Drosophila melanogaster: one gene and its partners. The protein of the gene in region 1 interacts with the protein of each later gene in a pairwise test. Each region holds a gene or a part of one and is shown in the gene's direction. Other genes may lie near its edges.

What was found.
Region 2: the proteins of spn-F (region 1) and Vti1a interact in a two-hybrid assay, tested with the Drosophila melanogaster proteins (one large-scale study listed by BioGRID).
Region 3: the proteins of spn-F (region 1) and Rpn2 interact in a two-hybrid assay, tested with the Drosophila melanogaster proteins (one large-scale study listed by BioGRID).
Region 4: the proteins of spn-F (region 1) and TMEM216 interact in a two-hybrid assay, tested with the Drosophila melanogaster proteins (one large-scale study listed by BioGRID).

The regions. Positions count from the first base shown.
Region 1 is NT_033777.3:31,253,181-31,257,291, forward strand, and holds spn-F (spn-F), read left to right. Parts: upstream 1-1,946; 5' UTR 1,947-2,062; coding exon 2,063-2,789; intron 2,790-2,857; coding exon 2,858-3,225; coding exon of another isoform or gene 3,226-3,261; 3' UTR 3,262-3,479; downstream 3,480-4,111. Other genes in the region: mRpL32 (mitochondrial ribosomal protein L32), read left to right, coding at 1-118, 175-437; CG1750 (uncharacterized protein), read right to left, coding at 479-843, 899-1,061, 1,119-1,443, 1,499-1,674. UniProt on the Drosophila melanogaster protein: Plays a role in oocyte axis determination and microtubule organization during oogenesis. Also required for polarized organization of the bristle. Required, with jvl, for activation of the kinase IKKepsilon in the germ line.
Region 2 is NT_037436.4:690,931-694,739, reverse strand, and holds Vti1a (vesicle transport through interaction with t-SNAREs 1a), read left to right. Parts: upstream 1-1,820; 5' UTR 1,821-1,961; coding exon 1,962-2,055; intron 2,056-2,119; coding exon 2,120-2,718; 3' UTR 2,719-3,254; downstream 3,255-3,809. Other genes in the region: CG13894 (uncharacterized protein), read left to right, coding at 1-1,457; RabX6, read right to left, coding at 3,330-3,791.
Region 3 is NT_033777.3:29,152,003-29,157,923, forward strand, and holds Rpn2 (regulatory particle non-ATPase 2), read left to right. Parts: upstream 1-1,521; 5' UTR 1,522-1,606; exon of another isoform or gene 1,607-1,693; 5' UTR 1,694-1,728; coding exon 1,729-2,671; intron 2,672-2,733; coding exon 2,734-4,041; intron 4,042-4,299; coding exon 4,300-5,111; coding exon of another isoform or gene 5,112-5,138; 3' UTR 5,139-5,253; downstream 5,254-5,921. Other genes in the region: Slbp (Stem-loop binding protein), read right to left, coding at 246-920, 982-1,137. UniProt on the Drosophila melanogaster protein: Acts as a regulatory subunit of the 26S proteasome which is involved in the ATP-dependent degradation of ubiquitinated proteins.
Region 4 is NT_033777.3:8,714,396-8,721,936, forward strand, and holds TMEM216 (transmembrane protein 216), read left to right. Parts: upstream 1-1,847; 5' UTR 1,848-2,173; intron 2,174-2,500; 5' UTR 2,501-2,729; coding exon 2,730-2,946; intron 2,947-3,453; coding exon 3,454-3,647; 3' UTR 3,648-3,976; exon of another isoform or gene 3,977-4,061; intron 4,062-4,802; exon of another isoform or gene 4,803-4,937; coding exon of another isoform or gene 4,938-5,193; intron 5,194-5,408; coding exon of another isoform or gene 5,409-5,602; 3' UTR 5,603-6,925; downstream 6,926-7,541. Other genes in the region: CG8112 (uncharacterized protein), read left to right, coding at 1-781; Cks85A (Cyclin-dependent kinase subunit 85A), read right to left, coding at 1,042-1,273, 1,344-1,402; CG11760 (uncharacterized protein), read left to right, coding at 4,938-5,193, 5,409-5,602; CG8136 (uncharacterized protein), read left to right, coding at 7,145-7,166, 7,228-7,541.

The DNA.
Region 1 (4,111 bases):
AAACGCCTGAAGCGGAAGTTCGGATATCCGGAATACAACTGGAAGCCTTTGAGGGAGAAGAGAAACCTCCGCTCCTGTCTGCAATGTGGCCATGACCACGAGATGGGAGTTCTTTGTCGTAAGTAGCCTTAAAAGTATACAAAGAGGTAGCCACCTTTAATGTTGCTCTTCCAGCCTTCTGCTACCAAAAGGTCCTGAAGGAGACTGAGCTCATGCAGTCGAAAATCCAGGAGACACTCGGTCTAGATCCCGTGGACAAGGAAGTAATCGTTCTTTATGAAGGCGAGAAGGCCGAACAGTCCACAGATGATCTGAAAAACAAGCGCATCGTGGAGATGAAGAAGCCTCGTCCCATGTGGTTCACCAAGAATCTGCTCCAAAAATCCACGCAGCAGCTGTCCGAAACCAAGGAAGTCAAGCCCTCCGACTTGGCCTAGATACTAAGCATCCATTGTGCATTAAATCCACACGTTCGTTATCAAATCGATGCTATTTTATTCTCTGTGAAGGATAAGGACCTTGCTTGCTTCAGGAATCCGTTGTTAAAGTCCTGGGCACTCATAGGTTTTCTACCTTCCACGCGTAACTGAAGCACTTCCAACTGACTCTGCTGAGCACATCCGATTATGAGGGATCTCGACTTCCTTAGGTAGCTGATGGCACCAGGTTCTTGGACGGGAACTCTCTTCTCCGGTAATCGCAACTCCAGCAACTGCACTTGCTTGCCCAAAAAGTTGGTTGTAAGGTTTTTGTAGCCATACAAAGCTCGATGACGAGTGTATATTTCAATGGCACTCAGCTCGGACCAGATAATTTCTGTGATTTTACTGGTAATCTTGGGAGCTGAAGGCAAAAATATAGTTTATATAGGTTCTCGAAGTGCTTAGATATGCTTTACCATAGCTGACCCTTGAACTATCTTGGGGTTTGGCTTCCTTAAGTCTTACTGATAGGTTGTTAATAGTATCCACAAGTAACTCGGCTCCTAGCGACGCCAAAGATGCATGCAGATCCGGCATGAAGACATCGGGATTAATAGCCACTTCTCGCTGAGCTAAAATCTAAAGCATAAGTCGTCAATACTACTGCATACAATGGTAAGATAAGAATGAACTTACATCACCGATATCGAACCGGTGAGGTTCGATTTTCATGATGGAAACTCCAGTGCTGGCATCTCCCTTCATGATGGCGTATATGATGGGAGCAGCTCCCCGCCATTTGGGTAACAAACTAGCGTGAACATTGATCATCCCATAAGGAAATCCATTGATGATACTACCAGGAATCAGGTGGCCAAAGGAGACCACCACACCCAGATCAAATTGCGGACACACAGAAGGATCTATGGGCCACTTTTGCAGGGGAAGCTTCTCCTTTTCCGCGTAGGTCCTCACACAGTTGGCGGGACTTTTGAAGGAGGTAACAACTCCCAAACGATCACTAAGAAAAATATTCTTATTAATCCAATTTAACATTATTGTTTAAAACATTTTACCCGCAGTTTTTGTGTAGCGCCTGTAAGCTGGGCAAGGAAAAATTGTCGGTACCGAAAAAGAGAATTTTTGGAGGGTGGTAAGTTCCCTTGCAGCGCTGTGCAATTGGGATTACATTCTGCCACACTTTTCTCTTATATTTGTAAAAATTATTGACTAAACTCTTGCCGCAAAACATCGGAAAATTTGTTGGATAATAATGCAGCGTAAACAAAAACAGCTGTTCGCGATACCAGCTGGTCACTCTACCAAATAACGTAATAGGAATGCTGAGATAGAGTGAAACCTGTTGAACCTATCGTCTTCAACCATGTAAATGGTGGTCTAACTTTATAAGATCAAGAGTCGTTATTTTTGTTTAAGTAATTAAACTTAGCTCAATACATTACTTTACTTTTATTTATCTGTCTTCAGTGACTATAGACTATCGGTATAGTGTATATTATTTTTTTAAGTTCATCGCACGGTCATACTAATGAGAACGCAATAAAAATTTGGAAAATCAAACATCTACAGGAAAACGTATATTTTTGGGATCAAGTGCCAAGGAACTCCAATACTGCAGAATGGAGGCATCTGCTGCCAAAATCACGCCTATGGCCAGTTCCATGTCCGCTTCCGGATCCACAAACTCCCCCTCCAGTGAAAAAATGAACTACGCACTGCAAGTGGCGCTGCAGACGATCAAGGAGCGGTGCATCCAGCTGCAGCGCCGCGTGGCCAGCATGGAGGAGGAGAACCAGCAGCTAAGGGAGGCCTCCAGCAGGTCGGAAGGTGCTCCAAGGGCAAACGAAATCGGGGTCACTGGGGACGTCCTCTCTCTGAAAGCACAGGTCTCTGAGCTGCAGCGCCAAAAGGAGCAGCTGGAGGAGCACATTGGCATGGTATCCAACGAGAACAGACGGCTCTGGTCCCGCCTATCGCAGATCTCCAAGGATCAGCAGCTGAACGCACTGCCCAGCTCAACAGACTCGCGAGCCCAGCAAAACCAGAACCTGGTGCGCTCCAAGACCTTTACGCAGCACTCCCCCAATCCTCACCTTCGCCAAAAGATGCTCTCCGACGGCATTAAGGATCTCAGTCTGGAGGAAATAGCCCTGGATGACTTCGGTGCCAGCAGTGAGGAACTAGGTTACCCCTACAACCTGCAAAAGGTGGAGGAAACCACTAGTGAACCAGATGCCAATGTGGATGCCAAAAGATGTTTGGATGGACTGCAGGAGCTGAGGCGAGAGGCCATGAAGCAGCAGCAGGAGCTCAGATCGGTAATGACTCTGCTAGAAAATCGCATAGGTAAGCAACAAAATGGAATTCATGCTATAAAAAAAATAACTTTTAACGCCTGTTTTATGTGCAAGCAGCACTCAAGCCCTGTCCGGAATGTGCCCAGAAAACCATCAAAAAACCGGAGATGGCCGACAAAAGTCTGGAAACGGACGACAGCCTGACCAGCGAGCTGAAGAACTATGAGAGCCAACACAATGGACACAATGGCACGCCGCCCAGCCAGAGAATTAACATAATACAAGAGAAAATCAAAGCAGATGCAGCCGACGCAATGGAGAAGACCTGCCCTATGTGCGGCAAGCAGTACTCCAGCCAAGTGTCCTTCAATGCGTTCCGCGAGCACGTCGAGATGCACTTCATCGACGATGCACTGGAACTGGAGTCGGAGAACAGCATTGAGCGCCAGTTTGAGTTCGTTTCCCATGCTGTGGGTGACTTCTGACCCAGTAGGCGCATTTATTTCGCCACCGAACTCTGACCTGACCGGAGAAATCCAAGGATTAAGGAGCAGTTTGACTGCGCAGGAGCCGCTTGTTACGTTTCTATTGATAAGACGTTAGGGCGATCATGTATCAAAACTATACAACATTGAACTTTAAGAAAAAATATATATATATTGTATTATAATTGCGGAGAGTGCATGAATATATAGATGTAAGTGACCGAATACGAAATACAGTTTAAATGAAAAGCCTGAAAACATGTTGAGCGCTCTCTTCGGTTGGTTGGAAAGTGAAATCGTGGACCGTGGACAACATAAATATTATATTATTAGCGCTGACAAATATTGTAATATCAAAGATGACGATCGATGTTACCATCGCTTGTGGTCATTATCCGATCTAATTGGCAGCTTTTCTGTGAGTCACACACTTTGGGGGAAGAGTGGAACATTCGACAAAGAAGTTTGGCTTGAGGCCATTATGCTGTAACTGGTCAGAGGATTTCCCTGTTTTTTTGGCTATGACGTAGTCGAAACCCGACTGGCAACGTGTGCCTAATCGGGCTGATCCAGTCATTCAATGCGAATATTTGCCAAAATATTGACCATAAGATTTGCCATTGATAGCAATACAAATGCAAATGCTCAGAGCTAACTTTCTTTTAATGCATTTGGAGTGGGTCGCAGCAGGAATTTAGCTTAAGGAAACATTTTAATTTGCCTATGCTAATAAGTTTGATAAATAAATATTTTTAAGACACAGGCACGTGGCAGCTCCCGTGGATACTTTATTACGTTACTATGAAATGCTCAGATAATGAAACAAATTATCAAATCTGGTGCTTATCTACAAGTCGTATAACTGGTAACCCCACCCATTCACCAA
Region 2 (3,809 bases), on another chromosome or scaffold:
CCTCCCTAAGACGAATTGTGCCCTTCAAAAAGCCAGTGGTATGTGCCCTGCACTTTGACCCCAGTGTCTTGGGTGGCAGGCGACTGCAGTCGAATGCGCTGCCCACCCTGCGTCTGGAAGTTCCCTCCAACCTGGAGGCCGTTGAGCAGCAGGCCATGGTGGAGGAGATCGAGAGGAGCCGAAAGTGCGCCTACATCAATGCAGTGGTATACGAATGGCTAGTAAGGGCCAATATCAATCCCCAGCTGCGAGGTAGCATTACCCACGGAATGATCAAGGACAAGGCGGAGAATGCCAGACAAGTCATAGGGAGCACATCCTTTATAGCAGACAATCGCTGGTTAAACCGTTTCCGAGAGACTCATCTTCAAGGCTTTGCCCAAAAACTAGCCAGCAACCAGTTGAAGCCACTAGGATCCTCCCTGTGGATCCCGGACATCGTACAGGACCTAGCCCATCTCTTTCCGCCCGCGAGCGCTGAAAGAGTGGCCAAACTGGAGGAGATGCCCGAGCAGTACATGACCTACATGCAACAGTACGGAGAATACGAAGAAGATGATGACAGTATGGATGTAAAGGAGCAGAGCTATCAAGAGCAACAGCAGCAGCAACAGCAGCACTTTGCCCTCCAGCAGCAACATATGCAACAGCAGCAGCATCAAATGGGCCACCCATGGCCACCGTTTCCAGGACATCCCGGACATCCTACTCCACACCCCGGGTTCGCCAGCTTCAACGACTTTTATTTCGAGCGGCATCAACAGCAAATGCAACAGCAACTCCAGCAGCAGCAGCAGATGCAACAGTTTCCACCCACTATGCCACCTCAAAGGGAACCCTTTCAGCCCCAATTGCCGCCAAATGTTCCACCGCAGCGGGCCAGTCCCTTCCAGCCCGTTCAGTTGGCCAAGAGACCCAAAATGGAGTCACCCGATGATGACGAAGTGCAAGAGATTAACTCAGCGGTGAACTCACCACCATATCCGCTAGCAGAATCAACCTTAACCAGCAAGCACAGTCGAAGTTCCAGTCCCAACGAGCAGAACAACAATAATAGCGGGGGAAGAGACAGTGCCAGCAGCAAGGAGAACGCCCCCAAGGGAGGCGGAACAAGTGGCAAATCCACGCCTGCCCTTTCTTCCAAGGGAAAGGACTCACCTGCACCAGCTCGAGCTGCGTCCACCAAACCCGCCTCTGCTCCCGCCTCGCCAAAAAAGATCCCCAATGGATCCAGCTCCTCCGGCAGCCAAACCAATGGACACACATCCCCAGACCCCGAGGATAAGAAGGCTTTATGCATGCTGAAGGAGTTGGAAAGCTACCACCAGGCCTTGGAGTACCTAAAACCGCTGGAGGACTTCGTGCTCTTCAAGGAGAACTTTCGGGCTATTGGCTTGCTGTCCCAATTGGAACTGGTGCTCCGAAAAGGGGACAAGGCCACACTGGTCGAGGGTTAAGAGTTTTCTAATCGCGGACCAGGACAGCACAAAACATAAATGTGATGAACAGTGTACATATGTATCATGTAGTATTATTAAATCGTACTACCGCCAAAACAGTTGCTTAGGTTAACAAAGAATCTCCACTCGCATAAAGCTGAACCTAATTAATTAATTTATTAATTACTCTAAGTACAATAAAATGGAATTTATAAAATAATAGATATGTTTGTGTTTTATTTACGTATTTAAAACGGAAGTTGGTTTTATCTGAGTTCTTACGAGAATATTGTAGTCCTTGAAGTTGGCAGTGTTTTTTACATGAGTATGGCAACGCTGACTCGAAATCAGAGTGACCACGACTTAAAAGTATTTATAGATTGCTGTATTACTGTTCACCTCATGACTCGGCCACACTTGGACAATGTTTACTTCTTTTCTTCGATAAATCTGTAATTTTCGCGAACTAAAACAGAACAAATACCATAAACAACTGAATAAGGTAGAATAAAAACCGCACAAATGTCGCTTCTGGAGCAATACGAACAGCAATACGCCACGTTAATAGCAGAAATAACGGCCCATATTGGACGGCTGCAGCAGCAAAACAACAACAGTGAGTGGGATGATTGTCCATGGATTGTACATTATGGTGATTACCATTTGTCCATTTACTCCAGGCGAGCGCCATGATTTGTGCAGCAAGATCGACTCCAGTTTGCCCGAGGCTCAGGAATTGCTGGAGCAGATGGGTCTGGAGGTGAGGGAGCTAAATCCTGGACTGCGGAGCAGCTTCAACGGAAAGCTGCAGGTGGCCCAGGCAGAACTGAAACGGCTGCAGGCGGAGTACAGGTTGACCAAGGACAAACAGCGCTCCCAAGCCAACACATTCACCACTCTGGACTTGGGTGACAGCTATGAGGATGTGTCCATAAGTACAGATCAACGCCAACGCCTCTTGGACAACTCGGAAAGGATTGAACGGACGGGCAACAGGTTAACCGAAGGGTACAGAGTGGCCTTGGAGACGGAGCAACTGGGCGCCCAGGTCCTAAATGATCTGCACCACCAAAGGGAAACTCTACAGGGAGCCAGGGCTCGACTTCGAGAAACCAATGCCGAGCTGGGAAGAGCTTCTCGCACTCTGAATACCATGATGTTAAGAGCCCTGCGGGAGAAGGTGGTCTTGTATGGAGTGGGTGTCTGCTTTGTGGTGGCCGTGGGCGTCAGTCTCTATCTGACCTTCGCACCCAGTTCAAGCAGCACCGCCTCGTCGTAGTAATTTTAGCTAGCAAACCAATAGCCAATGATCTTAGCCCAAATTCAAATGTTATAGAAGCCTGTCCATTCCAATTTCGTGAGTTGATTATTTATTGTTTAGTATATTTTATTTTTACGAGATATTCTGTGGAAGAAAGCTGCAGATTACGCACTAATCTATATAAGATAGGATGGAGTATTACGTGCAATAAGAGTCGAAGCTTAGAGTAGTTATCTGCGGTCAATCGATGTCTATATATTTTGTTGTCCTTTTACCTTTAAGATTAAATTGACCTTCTTGTTAATCGATGGAATTCCTATTACTTTTTAATTCTTACCGCAGATTTCTAACCTATCACTCGCGTATCCGCCATCCTAGCTTACGTGTACAAAGTTTAAGTGGTTAATGTTTGGCGCCTGGTTAATAGAAACTAATCCTACTCTATGACTCGTGTTCGCGTTCGGGACGTATTTTTCGTAAAAATTCGAATTGAACATGTACGTATCTAAAAATCATAACATAGCCGAAAGCTATCAATAAATAAAGGAAACAGTAAAAATGCATCTCTGCGTGAGCATTGAGCCTGGCGGGAATAAGGGTTCCTAGCCGAACTCAATGTTCCCCAACTGCTAGCAGCCGCAGGAGGAGGCGTCCTCCTCGTTGGTCGCCGCGCCGCTGCTCGCAGTGTCCACCTGGAAGCTCTTGTGCTCCAGTGCCTGCAGTTCCATTTTGGAGCGATTGGCGTGGACCAGTTGCCTAGAGATGTCACGGAACATCTCCTCCACACCGGCGCCGCTGCGACAGGAGGTCTTGTACGTGGCACTGATCAGTGAGTGGCACTGCTCGCAGAAGGCCTCCACTTCCTCATCGCTGACCTCCGGCTCCCTGCCATCCAGATCGCTCTTATTGCCACAGATGAAGATCTTGGCATTCTCTGCATAGGTCACAATGTCCAGCAAGTGCTGCGACAGCGAGTGGAACGAAGCGGCGTTGTCCAAAGCAAAGACCAGGATGGCTCCCTCGGCGAACTTGTAGTACGAGGATGTGACCGAGGCCACACGCTCCATGCCACCGGTGTCCCAGAGTTGGAGCTGTCAAAGAAGACGGTA
Region 3 (5,921 bases), 2.1 Mb from region 1:
CCGGCGGTCCGGAAAATTTCGAATCACCAAGGACTTCCTCAGGTAGCAAACGACAGAAAACCCAGGATCTTGTAAGACGCCATTTTATTCAACAAAACATCTGCGTAACAATTCCCCGTACACGGCCTTGTGACTCGAAGATGCGTGTTTGATTCATAGTTTTAACTTTGTACTTGAAATAAAAATTAGTAGTTAAACCCCCGATATTTGAAAAACATAGCCCGGCCCGGTAACAAGATTCGATCCTAGTCAGAATCCGAGTCGGAATTACTGTCCTTGGCCGTGTCGCGCGCTTGTGTAGGTGGATCATAGATGTGGAGGCTTTTGCGCCAGATCTTCACGAGCCCATCGAAGGCGCGGCGGCTGTACTTTCCATACTTGTTCGGGGTGCGCGGATGATCGCGAGTCCGCTCGTCCTTTGGCACCATTTCCACATAGCGCTCGTAGGCGGCAGTATTCTTTCCGTAATCTATTTGCTTCTGCCTGCGACTTAGGATGGCGGGATCGGCTTCGGTGTAGGAGGATGACGATGAGGTGGAGGACGTGTAGCTGTTGTGGCGCACCCGTTTCTCCTCCTTGTGGGCGCGGAAGTTGCCAGACTTTTTTGAGTTCCTCGAATGGGGATTGTTGCCGCCTTTGGGCGCAGCTGCATCTCCGTTGGCCGAGGAGTTGCTGCTGTTTGGACTGTTGGAGCGACTGTTCTCGTTGCTGGGCGGCGTGAACGAGTGTCGGCGCTTGTAGGGCGTTTTTAGCTTCTCCTCCTTGACCAGGCGCTCGAACTTTACCTCGTTGACGCCATCCAGGAACTCAAATGCCATCTCCCGGCCCTCGCCATCTTTGGACTCCAGATTACCGTCGGCTGTCTCCTTTTTGGCCAAGGAACCGCAGCTGGCAGCGCTGCTATTCAAGGAACTGGAGGCCTGCACGTGCAAACAAGAGAATTAATTGTGTTCCCGATCGTAGCAGCCAACCTTCACTTACCTCGTCACTGTGGCCAAACTCCGCGCGGACCTCCTGGGCCCAGCTCTGCATGGTGGGCTTCACATCGATCGAAATGGAGGATGCTGAGGAATTCAGGCTGCCGGAGCCTTTCTGCGGTGTGTTCTCCACGGACATGTGCTGATCCTCGCAGAGCATGTTGTGCAATTATCTTTCGTTTGTTTACTGTGCTGTGTATGATGCGGTCCGCTGCTCCAGGATGTTGTCGCGGCGGTGTTTTGCGTTTTCTGCGCAAACCTTCGCGCGTTTTTTGTTGTAGATGCGATGCTCAGTGTGCCCAGAAGTGGAGGTGGTAAGAAGGCGGCAAAAAGGTACCACAACACAGAACAACCTGGTCACTCACAACTAATTTCAAACTATGCTCCAAATGTATTACATTTCATTTCAATTTTGTTAAAATTTGATGTCCAATACATATTTAAACATACAGAAAATTAACAGCGATTTTTAAATTGTCTGAGGGAGGCTCAAACAATATCGATGCATCGGTACACATCGATAGCAAGACATCGAGCAACCAACCATTACCAACACTGTCTGCTTACCGAGTGATTTAGCATTTTTTCGGCACAAAAGAAAACTGAAAATTAAAACGGTGCAATTGTTGGTTAGTACGCAAAAGAACGATTTGTTTTCATAGCAAACGTAAAGTTTTCGAGCCCAAGTTGAACATACGTCACTTTAAAATCCGTAGAACATATTTTTGACTGGAAACAACGCAGCTGGAAAATGAGTCTTACGTCCGCCGCGGGGATAATTTCCCTACTCGATGAGCCAATGCCGGATCTTAAGGTGTTCGCCCTCAAAAAGCTGGACAACATCGTGGATGAGTTCTGGCCGGAGATCTCGGAGTCCATCGAGAAGATCGAGATGCTGCACGAGGATCGCAGCTTCCCCGAAAACAAGCTAGCTGGCATGGTGGCCTCCAAGGTGTTCTATCACCTGGGCTCCTTCGAGGACGCTCTGACGTACGCCCTGGGCGCTGGTGATCTGTTCGACGTGAATGCCCGCAATGAGTACACGGAGACCATCATTGCCAAGTGCATCGACTTCTACATTGCCCAGCGGGTGGAGTTCATCGAGAACCCTAAGGAGGCGAGTGTCGTGGACGAGCGGCTGGAGGGCATTGTGAACAGGATGATTCAGCGCTGTCTGGACGACAACCAGTTCCGCCAGGCTCTGGGCATCGCTCTGGAGACCCGTCGCATGGACACCTTCAAGGACGCTATCATGAAGTCGGACGATGTGCGTGGCATGCTGGCCTACGCCTACAACGTGACCATGTCCCTCATCCAGAACCGTGGCTTCCGCAATGAGGTGCTGCGCTGTCTGGTCAGTCTGTACCGTGATCTGGGTGTGCCGGACTACGTGAATATGTGTCAGTGCCTCATCTTCCTGGAGGACCCCTTCGCCGTAGCCGAGATGCTGGACAACCTCACACGGTCCTCGGTGGAGACAAACAATCTGATGGCCTATCAGATTGCCTTTGATTTGTACGAGTCGGCCACGCAAGAGTTTCTGGGCAATGTGCTGCAGCACCTCAAAAACACCGCTCCTATCCCAACCGCCCTCCCCAGCACATTTAAGCCCCAGGGTACCACCTCCGAGGATGGTGCCAAGTCGGAGGGAGACAAGTCCAAGTCTGACGAGGATATCACAGAGGAGACGCCAGGTAAACCCGGTTTTCTAATCCAGTCCCTTAAAATACTTATAAATCGCATTTTATTCACCTAGCTGATGATAAAGTAGAGCGCACAATCGATTCCCTTAACGAGGTTGAAAAGTTGCATCAGAAGAACATTGAAAAGCTCATATCGATCCTCTCCGGCGAGGTTTCCATCGACCTACAGCTCCAATTCCTCATCCGCAGCAACCACGCCGATTTGCAGGTCCTTCGAGGCACAAAGGAAGCGGTCCGCGTGTCTATCTGCCACACAGCCACTGTTATTGCCAACGCCTTCATGCACAGCGGCACCACCTCCGACCAATTCCTGCGCGACAACCTCGACTGGCTGGCCAGGGCCACGAATTGGGCCAAGCTGACGGCAACCGCTTCGCTTGGAGTAATTCATCGGGGTCACGAGAAGGATTCCCTGGCTCTCATGCAGAGCTATCTGCCAAAGGAGGCCGGTCCAAGTTCTGGTTACTCTGAGGGTGGTGCCCTTTATGCTTTGGGCTTGATCCATGCGAATCACGGAGCTAACATTATAGACTACCTGCTGCAACAGCTGAAGGATGCCCAAAACGAGAATGTGCGTCATGGCGGCTGCCTGGGACTAGGTCTCGCTGGCATGGGCACCCATCGCCAGGATCTGTATGAGCAGCTGAAGTTTAATTTGTATCAGGATGACGCGGTTACCGGAGAGGCGGCGGGCATTGCCATGGGTATGGTCATGCTGGGCTCCAAGAACGCCCAGGCCATCGAGGACATGGTGTCGTATGCGCAGGAGACGCAGCACGAGAAGATCCTACGCGGCCTAGCCGTGGGCATCTCCCTCACAATGTTCTCTCGTTTGGAGGAGGCCGACCCCCTGGTGACCAGCCTGTCTTCCGACAAGGATCCTGTGTTGCGCCGCTCGGGAATGTACACCATAGCTATGGCCTACAATGGTACTGGTAGCAACAAGGCCATCCGCAAGCTGCTACACGTGGCCGTCTCCGACGTAAATGATGATGTGCGACGTGCTGCTGTGACAGCCATCGGCTTCATCCTGTTCCGCTCTCCGGAGCAGTGTCCCTCTGTGGTCAGCCTTCTGGCAGAGTCCTACAACCCGCACGTTCGTTACGGAGCCGCAATGGCTCTTGGTATCGCCTGTGCCGGCACAGGTTTGCGTGAGGCCATTGCCCTGCTGGAGCCAATGGTGAAGTTCGATCCGGTCAACTTTGTGCGCCAGGGAGCTTTGATCGCCTCTGCCATGATCCTGATTCAGCACACGGACCAGAGCTGTCCCAAGTCCACCTTCTTCCGTCAGCTGTACGCCGAGGTCATTAGCAACAAGCACGAAGATGTGATGGCGAAGTACGGTGCCATTTTGGCTCAGGGTAAGCAATATAACACGATCCCTTTTCGTTATTTATGCAATTATATTGAAAAGCTAATTAGTTTGTTAATTTGCATCTATTAAACATTGGTTTCCGTAGTTTTCCCGCCAAGCTTCGAGATAAGATTAGTAGATACTCAAAATTATAAATATTCCATTTTTAACTAAGCGAACGACTATAGGTATTTTTGTAGGAATTGATTTATAATTAGTAATCGTCCTTTCCAGATCTTTCTAATTAGGCATTGACTATTTCCAGGTATTATTGATGCTGGTGGCCGAAACGCTACTCTGTCCCTGCAGTCCCGTACAGGACACACCAACCTGCAGGCAGTGGTGGGCATGCTGGCTTTCACCCAGTACTGGTACTGGTTCCCCCTGGCCCACACCCTTTCCCTTGCCTTCACACCCACCTGTGTGATCGGCCTGAACTCCGATCTGAAAATGCCCAAGATGGAGTACAAGTCGGCGGCCAAGCCCTCGTTATACGCATATCCCGCCCCACTGGAGGAGAAGAAGAGCGAGGAGCGCGAGAAGGTGGCCACCGCAGTTCTGTCCATTGCCGCCCGCCAGAAGAGACGCGAGAATGCCGACAAAAAAGAGGATGAGAAGATGGATGTGGACGAGGACAGCAAGGAGGGTGCTGCTGTCAAGAAGGACGAAGAAGCCAAGGCCGATGAGAAGATGGTAACGGATGAGAAACCCAAGAAGAAGGATGAGAAGGAAAAGAAAAAGGAAGAGGATAAGGAAAAGGAGGCAGCTGGCACCAGCAGCGAAAAGGATAAGGATAAGGAGAAGGACAAGAAGGAGAAGAAGGAGCCAGAGCCGACCTCCGAAATCCTGCAGAATCCCGCCCGCGTTCTTCGCCAGCAACTGAAGGTCCTTAGCGTTATTGATGGCCAGTCGTATGAGCCGCTGAAGGATGTCACTATCGGTGGAATTATTGTATTCCAGCACACTGGCAAAGCAGAGGACCAGGAGCTCGTTGAGCCAGTTGCCGCATTTGGACCGATGAACGACGAGGAAAAGGAGCCGGAGCCCCCAGAGCCCTTTGAGTACATCGAGGACTAAATGGGCATGCTGTTTGTCATTATCTAAGTGAATCCTGTTCGATTTTCAACCTTGCTTACGTTTCATGAGAACAACTAATCGGCAAGAACACGAAATGCTAATCCCTAATTATAACACAATAAATGGTCATCATATTAGATGTAAATAATGTCTACTTTGGTTTATGGTGGTAGTCGCCAACCTATTTTTTATCTCCTTAGAACTCGATCAAGAAGATTGTTTCGCCACCCGCCGAAAGATCCGCCTCTCAAACATAAATAAGTGATTTCACAACGCTCGGCAATTGCCCACAGTCTCTCTGAATTTGTAGAAGCGCTCTCTACCATGGCCGTTTTTTAAAGGGGATTGGTGCACCGTGGCCTCAAGGTAAACTTATGTTTGGATTTTAAGATGGTTAATTGCAATCGAATCGGGTTGGTATTCAATTATTATAAATATAAGCATATGATCGTATATGCAGTTAAAAAATGATCTTTGGAAATCATATGTTTTTAAGCTAAATGCCCATGTGCGTTGCCAAGGGAACTTGATATTTGCAAACAATTATTCAACAAGTAAATGATCAATATGTTTATAACTTTTATGGCTGGTTCCAACCACTTTCGTTGCAAAGAAGGGACAAATACAAACACTATATAAATCACTGTTATTATCCGTGGACAAGCACTGAAAAGCAAGTGCACTTCAACGGTGCGTCGGCCTAGAGATACCGTGTTGAAATCAGTGCTTCACTATTTGCCCTCCTACTGCTTATGAAGATGCAGATCATAGCGCAAATTAACATATTATTTTTACCTTCTGAAGATTACA
Region 4 (7,541 bases), about 23 Mb from region 1:
ACCCTTTGTGCCGCCGCTGAGCTGTTACACGTACTTTTTGTTTGCACCCACGCTTATCTACCGAGACAGCTACCCGCGCACCTCCCACATCCGCTGGAAGTTTGCCCTGAATCGACTGTTGGAGGTGGTGGCCATAGCCTTCCTGTACGCGTTCATCCATGAGCGGCACATCCACGAGCACTTCGGACAGTACGGACTGGAACCAATGGGACCCTCCCAGCTGATCCTCAAGCTGTTCGGCATGATGCTGCCCAGCGCGGTGATCTTTCTGTGCGGCTTCTACCTAATCCTGCACTCGTGGCTGAACTTCACGTCGGAGCTGCTACGCTTCGGTGATCGAATGTTCTACAAGGACTGGTGGACGTCGCACACTTACGATGGCTACTACAGAAACTGGAATGTCGTCGTGCACGACTGGCTGTACGAGTACGTGTACAAGGATATGTACACTCATGTGTTCCGAGGTTCCAAGGTGGCCGCCTCGCTGGCAGTGTTCATGATCTCCGCTGTGGTCCATGAGCAGGTTCTCGGCTTTGCCCTGCAAATGTTCTTCCCAGTGATGTTCTTCTTCTTTGGGGTCGTGGGTGTTGCCTTGGTATTCCTAATGCGGAGTGCTCCAAAAGTGATGGGCAACATCTTTCTGTGGTTCTCTCTGATCCTGGGAAATGCCACGCTGATCTCACTATACGCCATGGAGCATTACGCCCTAAAGAACTGCAACCTAAGCAACGAGAGTTGGACGTATCGCCTGCTGCCGGCGGTATGGCGCTGCTACAATTAGTCAATTAGTTAAACACTACTTTTAAACTGTCTGTACACAGGGCGTACGCTTCGATTTGTATTTTAGGTAAATAAACTTAATGAAATTAACAGAAACGATGTCTTCAGTTCGTTTCGTGTCTTTGAACTTCCCAGCTGAACCCTAAAGCTATGGTTTCTTATTTTACATCAGGCTGCCTGATGCTAACTTATGAAATACTACGTGAGCATTGACGAGTGCGTCCTTGGAAGAGCATTCCTCGGCGGCATGGCATCCTCCGCCTAACCGCAGAGATTCGCGATGGCCTGAGCCGCATTAGCGGCTGCCACCTGTGGAGCGTCCTCTGCCGGAATGCGTTTGCGTCGGAATAGAATCACATGCGGCTCCGGCGCGTGGACCATGTAGTGCACCCAGCCGGGGCTCTGCTGCACGCCCAGGTTGCGCCACTCCGTCTCGGTCATCAGATGAGCCTTCGGCACATGTTTGGCCAAATCCGGTGGCAAGATAACATGCCTGCAGGGAGGGAAAGTGGTTTGTGTGTAAACAAACAGTTCACGGATGCTGAAACGCAAGTTGAACGTACCTGTATTCAAAGTTGTCGTCGAAGTACTTCTCTGAGTATTGAATTTGATCGGCCGGCATTGCGAAAAGCCAGAAAACCTGAGGTAAATTAAGCAATTTTACCAAAATAGGTCAATAAATTCAGATAGATATGCCACAACTGATTCGATTCTAAATACTATTGTTATCGCTGCACGTATCGAACATAAAGTTATCGATTTGGTTATCAGCTGTCCAGTTAACAGCACCTTTGGCGGTAAACTCAAATGTACTGTTTTTAATGGCACGATCTTAGCGGGCTTTAATATATTGAACATAAACTTTTTTCTGTATAACAATATTTTTGCAATGTTTAAAGCCATTTTAAAGCCATTTTGTTAAAAAAACGAGTACTTTGTAAAAAGATGCTGTTAGAAAATGTTAACATATTTAGCGAATGAAAAACTCAATTGGATAATATGTGATTTCCAGTGTGACCGGAACTCGCAGGCTCGCACATTTTCCAAATGCAATCGGCAATTTCTCCGTTACTCGCCCATGGCCACATTTGTGCATGTGCGTTTGAGGTTCCTTTCCTTTTTATATAAGCCCCTCGTCTCTTGCCAACAAACCAACAACAACAACAACCAGCCAGGCCAGCGGGCAACAACAACGCACAACAACGCGTATAAATAAACGTGAACGCATGTACTTAATATTAGCATAGAGTTGTCGCCTGCGTGCATTTCATATACATAACATAACATCCACTTACTCCCATGACAACGGGACTTTAGACAGTAACGGTGGAGCAGCTAGAAGAAGAGGAAAGGCGAAGTAGAACGGGAACAAGAAGAAAAAGCAGTGGAAGAGGTGAGGACGATACGTAAATACAGTCAAACTTCCATAAGTAGATACGACTTTACTACTACAATAAAAAGTGTCCTTTAGTGATGAAGAAAATGGGTTCTAAGAACCTAAAACCTTTATGTATATGTACTCCCTATTGTCGCTTAATGAATTTACCGTTACGGTATGCTAGTAAATAAATGCATACAATGTACATATGTAGATACATAGGCACAGCAAAACCACCTATAAATTCGATTGATTTTATGAAGTTCTAGTTGAGGAAGTTTGACTGTATGTATGCGCGCATTGGTAAATACGAGCAGACCGCAATTAGCAAATATTTTTCAGTCCAGCAGGTATCACTCACCACGTACCGCCCAAAGGTCCCAATGCTGGCGTAGAGAAGCCGAAACACCTGCTGCTGCCAGTGGAAAAGCGGGAGGAGCTGCTCCAAACTGCCCAGGTGACATCCAATCATTTAGAGGCGACGCACCTGCCGCCTTGAGGAACTGGTCGCCACGCAGGAGGACACGGATACGGCAACGGTTACGGACTCGTTTCCGCAGTAGCGGGCACCATGAACGCCAGCCTCATCTATGAGATACTTATGTATCTGAACTCGTTCTACTTTGGCATGTACGCCGCCTTCGAAGTGGGCGTGGGCGTTCTTAAGGCGATTAATCTAAACTACGGCGAGAACGCGTTGTCCCGGGAGGCCAGCATCCTGCTCTCACTGTGCATCATCGAGACCGTGCGCATTGTCTTCGGGCGGAAGAGCAGTCTAAGCGATCGTGGTGAGTAATCCCCATGATCCCCATGTTACTGCAAGGGTGGGAAAAGTCCACCGGCAGCGATGATGACATGGCGAAATTATTTGTTTGCCCGGTCACAATGCCCATTTCATGCCATCCCCCTACCTCCGGGGCCATAACCCATAAACGTTTGGACGGGCATACATACATATATGTATGATGTAGCCCACTCGGCGTATGCGTAATTATGGTCATCACCCCGGATGAAAACACGCGTTTTATGGTGGCAGGGGAAAGGCGCCCTTCTGGCACATTAAGCAATATGCAAAGGAAATCTATCAAAGCGAATCATCGAAATGAGTTATTGGAAAAGCAATTGGAGCTGTTAATATTAATTATCGCAATGTGTAAACATGAAATTATTAGTATAATACTTTAAAACACTGAATCACTTTCAATCGAATACACTTAATTATAAACAAGTAGACGAACTATACGATTTTCCGTGCATCTGTAGCTAACATTTTCCTTGTTTTTCTCTCTTTGCAGGCTGGCAAGCAACCGCATCCGTAATATTAACACTGCCCAGTCTTGCTATTGTTATCTACTTGTGTTGTTTTCAAACCTTTGTTCTCAAACTCGAAATTATTCTGAGTGCCTTAATGATCACCCTACAAGGTGCTGAACTAGTCTACGCCAGCATATTCATTTGTACAATGTGTCGCCCCGTCACATACACCTAGCAGTTGATAAGCCGCGTTGCCGCCGCCACGTCAACGACCAAGATCGAGATCAAGACCAAGCCAGCACTAACACTCCCACCTGGAGGAGAAGGAGTAGAAGCATCCACAGCCGAGCGACGACTACGACGAAGACGAAACACTTTCCTCTGGCAATTTCACATCAAACGATTCGCCAAGGCCTCAAAACTAAGCCACTTAAATGCACACTAAGCCACCGCACATAAAAACAAAACAAAAAATCTAGATCCTACTAGACCTCCTAGGAATCCGTGCCAAGACAACCCGATAACATACCCAATGGCTGGCAGTTGAGGAGGACTTTCAACAAGGTACGTGAACCTTTATAAACTTATATAATCCGCACAGATCATTCGCGCCCGCGGAAATCACATCGCAGCGAAACACGACGCGTCCGATTCTATCAAAAGCAAAGCTGCATTTAATTTGCATTTCTTGGTTGCATTCTTTTGCCCGGCCTTTGTGGCGTTGCCTCCCTGCTGGCGCAGTTGCTCCTCGGACCCGCTCGGTTCTGGTATTTTTATACGGCTCTGATGGTCTAAAATTATATGCGAACTGCACGGCTCGTGCAACACCGCTGCTGTCCCCTAGGTGCAATGTACACTTCTAATTTGAATGTAATATACACGGCCCACTGCGGGCAAGTTAGCCTGACTGTAATGGCCAAGATGAGAGGGCTCTCCGTTTGGTCTTTGGTCTAGTGAACATGCCCTGTACGATTCACAGGAGAGAGATTCACGGGACTTTAGCGAGGCATAACGCTTTGAGTTTTTAAAAATAATTAAAATTCCAACAATGGTTTTCATATATTCACCCTAAACCTATCCTGAATTTCAAGGTAACCATTTAATGGCCCTGGGCCCTGTAGAGCATAACGCCCAGGGAGTTTTTAGTAGTTTTTTCCCCCCAACTAGCCGCCAGTGAAATCATTCTCCCCCACATTTCTAGGCAGGCGATCTGCCGGCCAATGCTGACCCAAACAGCGAGCAGAGAAAACAAATAAAAGGCGACAACGACCAGCAGCACATTATTCAAATAAACAGCACATTTCGCAGCGACAAACCGTGAGACCGCCGATGTCGATGCCGCTGCCGCTGCATTGGCCAAGCACGGCAGGTTCGCGTTATTATTATGGTCAGTCTATAAATACAGTGCCCAACGTGAGCAACGCCGCCGTGTGAGCGATCCGGGAGATCAAATCGGTCCAATTTGCCGTAGACATCGAGGGGTAACAGGAGAAGCAGCAGAAGGAGGTGCTAAGCCGGCAGAAAGATGCCGCCCAAGCGTCCGCCACCGCTCGTGCCGAAGAAGCCAAATCCCAGCATGAACTACGAGGTGTTGATCTACCTCAACTCGTTCTACTTTGGCATGTTCGCCTGTTGCGAGATGGCCATGGGCCTCCTGAAGGCCATCAATCTCAGCTACACGGGACATACTCTAGCCCTGGACACGGGGGTGATGATTAGCTTCATTGTCTTTGAGACGATCCGATTGATAATGGGGCGCATGAGTTCGCTGGCCGATCGAGGTAGAAGCTCCCGCCTGCTGGCTGGTCTAATTATAGGATATTCTAAAACAATAGAATCATCCTCAATGGCGTTATCAATCGTTTAATCAAACCAAACCATTAGACTTAAGAAATACTAATTAACTCATTATCATCCTTATTTATAATTGTAATAGAATAGTATCTATGGCTTTTACAATCAGATTCTAATGAACTCTTCTGCTTTTCTATCACAGGCTGGTCGGCCATACTGTCGGTCTTCATGACCGCCCCCTGCTTTGTGGGCGTCTCCTATCTACTGCTGCTCCAGACCTACCGACTGCGCCTGGAGTACTGCCTGTGCACGCTGCAGATCGCCCTTTACCTGACCGAGGTGTGGTATGCCATCGTCTTCGTTTTCTCGCTGTGTCGTCCAGTAACTTATGATTAGCCATATAGACAGAAACATCCAACAGCCAACTAGCAGCAAATATACATGCGAAAGTTTAGCAATCTATAAGATCGAAAAAGGATAATATGCGGTGTAAGGAAATTTAATGAATTTGAAAAGCAGTAGGCAGCTGAATTGCTCATGGCCGTGGAGAAGAGAAACCAAACAGAAAGAAAAAAAAAACAAAACAAAACACATATGTAGCATATTAATAATTATGTATAGTAAGGTTTATGATAACATACACACACTCTTATATACATATATTTAACGGTTTTATATACAAAAATTGTTAACATTTAAGCATCAATTGGAACCAATATAAGACAACAAGCAAAACCTAAAACTTGAATAATTTTCACAATTTTAAGATGAAAATTTTTTTGTAAAAAGAAAAATATCGAAAAACAGCCGAAAAACAAATTTGATGTGTGGAAATAATAATTTATAATAGTTCACAGATAGCTCGAATCTTAAAAAGAATTGTAAAAAAATCAGTGGAATGTCTCACAAAATCTAGTCAGCATCAAAATCATGAAAAACAAATGGCCGAAAGGCCATTAAAAAAATTCATTACCACTAAGAGTCAGCGTTTAGTAGTTCATACCAATATTCAAAAGGCGGAGAACAACATAATTAAGCCCAGTTAAAAGTCTAGACCATGTGTGTACTTTAATGAAACTACTTTATATAAACCTAGCAAATAGCGTAAATAACATTTTCAAGACGTCACTAAAAACAATGCAAACCCGAGCGGGCAACCGTTTACTAGAAAGCGAACAACAAATTAGCTAAATCATATAAAACATTTATAGAGTGTTAAAAACTAGGCGAAAACCCTCCATTACACTTCTCCCCAATTCAGCCTATTGGCAACTCGAAACGCCCTTTAAATCACGCTCAATTATCCCCGCCTGATAGGATCCGAGGATTGCAGCTCCTCCAATGCTAGTCACTAATGTTCACAAACATTTTCTAAGCTAGACCGAAGATTGTGTAATAATTTGATAAGACCTTTGTGTGGTTTCATAGCAAAATAACGCACAAATCGATAACAAAAACTCTCAACAGTCCACAAATCTCATGCTTTTAAAACAAAAGAAATAATTTTACTGAAACCAAACAGCTGGAAGCTAGAAGCTGAAAGAAAACCAAAGCCACATCCTACGTTGAATAATTTACCTGTATAATATTTATGTCATTTCGTTAAACGCAAAATGTTAACATACTTTTAAAGCGCGTGTAAAACGGATAGTTAATAAAATAACGACAACAATATTTAAAAGAACATATACACTCGATGAAAATGAATATTAAAGATCGAAAAAAAGAAAAAGGAATCTGTTATTAGTAGGCCGTGGGTTCAATAAGATCTTTTCGAGTATGATAGGTGTATTTCGTTTTGTGCCTCCAAAATTTCAGATATTATTCAGCTACACACAGACAGGCCTCCCAAATTTGTAAGCTCTGTAAATTCAAAACCAGAACTGCTGCAGGCCAGTGGCGAAGTTAATTTGTCAGAGGAAAACTCAAGCCATCTCCATGGATAAAAACCACAAGTCGGGTGAGTCAAGCCGAGTGTGGCATCCTTAAGTTGTTAAAACTATGTGTGTTCTTTGCTCCAGAAGAGGGGTTTGGACGTTCAATGTCTAGTAGCAGTCGCCGCGTCATGTGGAAGCTCAACGAGGAGGAGGAGACATTCGACTCCTTGGTCAATTATCGGCGGCTTCCTTCGCGCAGCCTAAACCGAAGTCAGGTGACCGATGTGCCCACCAAGGGACACACTACCTCCGAAAATTGCCAGCTGCCAGCGCAAGAGTTGGAAACAAAGAGCGCCACCAACGAACAAGGTGCATTGGGCATAATGTCGGTTAGCCTACCGCAAACAACCAGGAATTCCCATCAATCGTCGGCCACGTCACTGCCGGAGGCCAAGGGA